Arabidopsis thaliana: one gene and its partner. The protein of the gene in region 1 interacts with the protein of each later gene in a pairwise test. Each region holds a gene or a part of one and is shown on either strand. Other genes may lie near its edges. The genes, in order: AGL38 and AT4G36590.

Region 1 (3,734 bases):
AAGCTGTTAAAGTTAAGTCTTTGTAATGAGTGACATGTTAAGAAAATGGATCAAGTTTAGTGCCTTATTCTGATCTGATAAGATCTTTAAGTGTTTTAGTTTAAAATAGAGGAAAAAGAGTAAAAAAGCAATTATTCATCTTCAAGTGCAGAGACTAGACAATATCTTTGAATATGTTTATTTATCTGACACTGTTATTATTGTAAGAGATGTTTTATGTCAAATGTTTGTTCCAACTCTCTCTATTGCGTTAGCGTAAGTAACCTGCAAGATCTGTAAATTAATTACTAATTGTTATTTATTATTCACACATGGGACATCATAAAGTTGTCTTGGTGATAAATTTAGTCAATATGTGTGTGTGGGTTAAGAGTGTTGACTATACCAGTTTCCCCGTGATTGATTGGCTTTTATTAAATCGGACAATTTGCATTTATATTCACAGGTCATGTTTATTAAACTCTACATTGCTGTCTAATGTCTATAGTACACCAAGTCTATTGGTGATTGAAATGTCGGAGAACGGTATAGTTTTTCTGTTCTTACAATAAAAAGGTAGATTAAGAACACTGATTAACTCAATGTAACCCATACACTTACACGTCGGGTCAATCTTGAGCGGTGATCTTTTGGGTTTACCTCTAACCCCGGACTGGTTAAACACTTTTCTCACCTCACCACATCAAAGCCATAATCAGGGCCCAAATTTGAGTGCCTACAGCAAAAAGATTTTGGCCCAATAACAAAAAACTGTTTTTTAAAACAATTACAAAATTTTCGTCTAAATTAGATTCAAAACTGTATAGTAAAATGTTTGGGACTAACCACTAAACTACAGTCACATTTTTGAAAATGATGACTCTAAAACAAGTTATAATTATTTGCTGCGTAATACCCTTGCTTCATGGGATTACGTGGAGAAGAAGAGTAAGTATCAATCAATTTATTGCTAGAGATTTGCAAAAGGGGGAATCCGTGTGCAGAGGTGTCTAGATGAAGCCATGAGTCTACAGCGGAGTTTGAATTTGCGGTGGATGAGTTACGGTGGAGATGACATTTTCCAAACATTACAAGCCTTAACACGTGTACCTACTGAGATTTTGATAGAACTTGAAATTGTTTCCCAAATAAACCTCTTATTCGGAAGTTAGGTTTTGGACTCAAAATGGATGGGATGCATCATGAGGTATGAGATATGTTTCCCAATGTAGTCTCCGGCGATGAGATTCTTTATCACCATTTTTATTTAACGTTAATACTTAAATCTTTGTAAGACAGAAAAAGAATAAGATGTTAGTCAAGATTAGAATAACGAGACCTAATTTGTGAAATTTTCCGTAGCTTTTTGTGGATAATAGTTTGTTTAGTAAAACTGATCCGAATTAATGTGAACTCGTAAGACTCCTCCATCTCAATGGAGCGGCTAATTAGAACAACTACTAAATTGTGACAAATCTAAGGTTGTCTCACATAATTCAAGAGTTTAAAATATGGTATAGTCTTAGATATAGATATCTTATACCAATATTCATAATTTGCTAAAGCTAACTAGACATTCCTAGATAATTTACCGCCAAGAAAACTAATTAATTGGATATGTTTTTCTTTTCTCTATAATTTTTGTATATTTAATTAATGTAAATATACAAAATTATATCAAATATATTATTTCCTTATATGTTTCATTTTAATCATTTTTTATTAAAATGAATAATTGGACACCTAGATAGCTAGGCCAAAACAATTTTTGACATTCCATTGACTTATTTACCCAAAATGGAAAGTGTGGGTGATTCTGGCTGTTTAGATGCTTAGACATAATCTTACTTTCTATCCAACTAATTATTACCTGTAACTGTAAGTTTCAATTTTAGGCATTTTATATTAATTATATTAAAATAAAAATAATAACAAATAGAAAAATGTATAGAGAAGAAAATATCTTAAATTACCTTTGAAATATATATTTTCCTTTAAATGGACTTTCTATATAAAAAATAAATCACATTACATATATGATACAATTTTCCCCCTAAATGTCTGGTTTTATGCCCCCCAAAAGGTAAAATATCTATATGGGCTGTCTATAAAGATAAATGATTATCACTTTACCATCAATCACATGCCAACACGTAAGGGTGAAAGTAATACCATATCCTGAAAATAAAAATTGAAAATAGTCCAGCAAAGCAATAAGAAACACATTTTATCTAGTATATAAACAATCGTCCTCATGCTAACAAAGCAAAACACATATAACAAAAACAATAGATATGAAGAGAAAGATGAAGTTATCGTTAATAGAAAACAGTGTATCGAGGAAAACAACATTCACCAAAAGGAAGAAAGGGATGACGAAGAAACTAACCGAGCTAGTCACTCTATGTGGTGTTGAAGCATGTGCGGTCGTCTATAGTCCGTTCAACTCGATCCCGGAGGCTTGGCCGTCAAGGGAAGGCGTTGAAGACGTGGTGTCGAAATTTATGGAGTTGTCGGTGTTGGACCGGACCAAGAAGATGGTGGATCAAGAGACTTTTATAAGTCAAAGGATCGCCAAAGAAAAAGAGCAGCTGCAGAAGCTACGTGATGAGAACCATAATTCTCAGATTCGGGAGTTAATGTTTGGTTGTCTCAAAGGGGAGACGAATGTGTATAATCTTGATGGAAGGGATCTTCAAGATTTGAGTTTATATATTGATAAGTATCTTAATGGTCTTACTCGCAGGATTGAGATCCTTATTGAGAACGGTGAGTCTTCTTCATCTTTACCTCTTCCTATTGTTGCGAATGCAGCTGCACCAGTCGGATTTGATGGTCCTATGTTTCAATATCATAATCAAAATCAGCAAAAGCCGGTTCAATTCCAATATCAGGCTCTTTATGATTTTTATGATCAGATTCCAAAGAAAATTCATGGTTTTAATATGAATATGAATAAGGATTCGAATCAAAGTATGGTTTTGGATTTGAATCAAAATCTTAATGATGGAGAGGACGAGGGCATTCCTTGCATGGACAACAACAACTACCACCCCGAAATCGATTGTCTCGCTACCGTCACCACTGCCCCCACTGATGTTTGTGCTCCTAACATCACCAATGATCTCTAGTCTAAGGGATGTATTTCGAGTGAAGTGTTTGATCGTTTGCATTTGTGTTTTCTCCATTTTATAAGACAAAACTTATATGTGATGTCTTTTTTATTATTATTAATTGTTGGACAATTCTTGCGTCCACACTTATCTTATTTACCCTTTCTTAAGTTCCTTATTAAACTTTACATTTTTTTTAACACCATCAAAAACTTTCTCTTTAAGTTGTTTATTACACTTTACATTTATTTTACACCATCAAAAACTAAGGTCACTAAATAAAAAAAACTATGAAGCCTCATTTTCCCATAGGAGCAATGTGAGACATAGACAAATTGAGTAAACAATTACATCACTTGGTAAACAATTTTTTTAATATTTAATTAGTATTGGTTGTTATTGATTTAAATTTTATATCACTTTCTAAATAATTTAAAATCGTATATTTGTATCAAGTGATGCAAATGGATTTAGATTTGTATCAATTTTAGTGAACTGATGCCACATAAACTAATACGACATCGATTATTGCAATTGATGTTAAACTATAATTCTTGTATCGATTGTAAACAAGTGATTCAAATTAATAGCATTCAATTTTTTTCATGCAACTACTTTTTTGTTTGTAGTATTTGTTGGATA
Region 2 (3,861 bases), on another chromosome or scaffold:
GATCTCGATAGTGCGGTTACAGACAGGATTGATGAAGTCATTGAGTTCCCACTTCCAGGGGAAGAAGAACGTTTCAAGCTTCTCAATCTCTATCTCAACAAATATCTAAAGATGGGTGATAACAACGAAGACACAAAACCGAAATGGAGTCATTTGTTTAAGAAGCTGTCACAGAAGATTACCGTTGAAGAAGACTTAACTGATAAAGTGATTTCTGAGGCTGCAAAGAAGACAGAAGGATTCTCTGGCCGTGAGATTGCAAAGCTTGTGGCTGGAGTACAAGCTGGAGTGTACGGACGAGCGGATTGTGTTTTGGATTCACAGCTTTTTAAAGAGATTGTTGAATATAAGGTTGAAGAACATCACCGAAGGCATATGCTTGCTTCTGAAGGTTTTCAGCCATTACTCTTCTCTTAGTCATTTGGATTTTGATTATACATGTCATTTACTTGATCAGAAAGAAGAATCTGATTGTTTTAAAATGAGTCCTAAAATTGAATTTTTAGATTAAACATGTTAAAGAGTTTTACAGAATCTTGAAGTCTTACATATGAACACTTCTCGTTGTTAACATTAGATTCATTTCTGTCTGATGAGGGTTTCTTAAAAAATTGTTTTGTTCATTTGTAAATCTGGTTTGATTTCAGTATATAACATTAAGCTTAAATAGCAAAATAAAAATAAAAATATAAGTAAAATTAAAGGATAAATAAATTTATTCTGGATACAAAAATATCCAAAAACAAAGGAAAACAAACGACGAATAAAATGAAAAACCAACCAACTGAAACAAATTAAAAGAAAAAACAAACTTAAGTCTCACAATACAAGAACAATCCTAACAGTAACCATAGCCAAAATAACGCAAATATTGATTAGGATGTTCTTCTAGCTTCAGACTCTAGCTCTGGTTGAAGTTGTAACTTGACATGTAGTTCATGTTGGATATCGGAACGAGAACTCCATCATTGTTGTATCCAAACATTGGTGGTGTATGATTGGGAAACACCATGTTTGGATTATAGTTGAATGCATTTCTTCTTTGATCAAAAAGATCAATGCCAACATTACCACCACCAATCACGCCAGAACTTTGACCAAAGTAATTCTGCGAAACATTTACTTGAGAATATTGAGACATTTCTCTTACCAGTTTCTTTTTCACATCTTGAAGAGCAGATATCAGCTGGTTGGTTTCATTCATGTCGAGATCTTTCACATCTTTTTCATACCAGTTTCCTACTTGTTCTCTGGATTCTTTCAATAGGTCCAAAACCATTCTCTTCTGTTTCTCCTTTTCCTGGTTTGCCAGCACCTGCAATGAGATTCATTTCATCATGTTGTGAAAAAAACGAGATATGGTTTATATATTTGAACATTTTGAAGAAAACAATCTAACTATGGATACCATTTGATATCTTTAACAATCTAACTATGGATACGATTTGAAAACAATCTAACTATTGATGGTCTCTTTTTCCCTTAACAAATTAAGTTATAGACATAGAATTGGCATATATATATATATATATATATATATATATATATATATATATATATATATATATATATATAATTCTCTTGCATTTTTCTTTAAAACAAAATTGTTTACCTCAGTGAGTATATTGTTGAGATATTGGATATTTCTATCCGGACGGGTTTCAACAAGTTGGAGATTGTTGTTCTGATGATGGACAATGGCAGAATTATGGTTAGGATTCGAAAAGCGATGAATGAGTTCTTGAACACTTGGATGGCCAAAAGAAAACACTTTCCCACCAGGAGAGAACACAATCAACAGAATCTCTGCACCACTTAATGTGCAAAGTTCACTAGCTTTTTTGAAAAGACCGAATCTTCTTTTTGAGAAAGTAACCTGAAGGTTGCTTTCGTTTTCCATTTTTTTCATCTCTATTTTCTGACGACCTTTGGTACTTCTCACCATTTTCTCAAAAATTTGAATAAACAAATGACAAATTTGATGCTAAGAAATAAAATATGTTCTTTATATTTATACAGGTGTATTACATATGGAAATGTAATACATTATAGGTCCATTATAAGTAAACATAATCCTTCAACCCTTAATTTTGCCAAAAAATTAATTTTCCAATTTGAGGAATATTTCATAATTATCTCTGAAATTTCTTAAGGACATAATTATCTCTAAAATTTCTTAAGGATATAAAATTCATGATATTTCAAATGCAATATCATTATATTAGTTGGTAAATGCATAACAGTTTGACAAATGTATGCACCAACTGCCCATGAGAGGCACATTAAAATTTTATGAGCTGTTTGTTAAAATACTTAATCTATATTTTTGGGAAAAATCTTGAACAAAATTATCCATTAAATTATTTGTTTGTATACAGCTAATGCAAGTAATATTTATACAGTAAAACAAAATTTATCTATTTTTGAGATATCACAATCATTACTAGATAAAATATACAGTTGTACTTTACATAATAAAAAAAATTATTAAATGAAATTCAAAAGATTTTGAGTTATGGGCCCAAATTTTTTTAATTTAGATATATACCATTTACTAGATATATTTTTCATAATGATAGTGAGTTATGTTTATTGAAATTAACATTTCTAAGATATAAATAAAATGATTTATACTCAAATATTGTTGATTTTTAACTATCTTTGTTCTTAAATAAAATGTTTGAATATTACAATAATCATTATTGATTCTTATAAATATTTTAAATTATTTTATATAATTGATTTTTTGTGAAAGTTTACACTATCTGACTTATCTTATTAGAAAACTTTGTAATTGTATCGTCAAAACGTTTAAAATTGGTGTCTTCTTCACCTCTCTCACTTTCGGTTGGGCTCATGCTGGGTTTCTTGTTGGGCTTAGTTTTGTTTTTTTATGGTTTAAATCAATTTTCTTGGTTGAACCAAAAAAAAAACAGTTTTCTTTAAAAATGAGATGACAAAAAAAAAACATTGGATTAACTAAGAAAGGTAAAAAAATAAACACTTTCTGATTTACCTTTTTACTGGATTATCCGGTTTGTAACCCTGCTAAGCGCATGGCTTCGGTTTTCTAAACCGGTTATTTTAATCTTTCCAAGTATTGAAACTTCCTCTACGCGACCGGCCACGTGACCTCGGGTCGGGAGACACTAACCCTACAAAATCGAACCACAAGTGGACACGTCGCAAGCACTTCCAGCATAACCGCCTCTTTAATTGCCACGTAAACATCGAATAACCACGTAATCATCGAATAACCACGTGTCTTACAATAACCGCTTATCTAGTGAAAGAAAGGAATGTGATCTCTCCCTCTCTCGCTCATCTATAACTAGAAACTTCCTCCATGAAGATTGGAACCAAGAAACAAAACAAAAAATCGGAATTTTAAAGAATAGGAATAATGGAGAGAAGAACGTTGATGATGATTATGATGCTTACGACGGTGGTGACGCTGACGTGGCAGAAGCAATGCTATGGATGGGGAACGGAGACAGCAGAGGATATGGTTAGAAACGAAGCAGAGCATGCTAAAAACGCAGCCGAGACCGCTAAGAAAATGGCGTCCGATGCGGCTCATGACACAAAGGACAAAACCGCCTCTTGGGCTGGTTGGGTTTCCGACAAAATTTCCACGTAAGCGTTAACTTTTGTTTAGGCATGATCATACTTCTATTTTGGATCTGTGTTGGTTTCTTCTAATGGAACCATCTTCTCATAGTGTTTGATTTCAAATTGTAAACGTAGATCTGAGTTTTGTTTTAAGAGAAATTTGAAATGTATATATATAAACGCATGTTACGCATCATTTGCATTTCAAACTGTGAAGTGATTTAAGAATGATAATATATAGATGATTGA

The links.
Region 2: the proteins of AGL38 (region 1) and AT4G36590 interact in a two-hybrid assay, tested with the Arabidopsis thaliana proteins (one large-scale study listed by BioGRID).

The regions. Positions count from the first base shown.
Region 1 is NC_003070.9:24,252,656-24,256,389, forward strand, and holds AGL38 (AGAMOUS-like 38), read left to right. Parts: upstream 1-2,273; coding exon 2,274-3,110; 3' UTR 3,111-3,202; downstream 3,203-3,734. UniProt on the Arabidopsis thaliana protein: Probable transcription factor involved in the development of gametophytes and seeds.
Region 2 is NC_003075.7:17,260,245-17,264,105, forward strand, and holds AT4G36590 (MADS-box transcription factor family protein), read right to left. Parts: upstream 1,984-3,861; 5' UTR 1,946-1,983; coding exon 1,613-1,945; intron 1,316-1,612; coding exon 902-1,315; 3' UTR 693-901; downstream 1-692. Other genes in the region: AT4G36580 (AAA-type ATPase family protein), read left to right, coding at 1-417; AT4G36600 (Late embryogenesis abundant (LEA) protein), read left to right, coding at 3,404-3,636.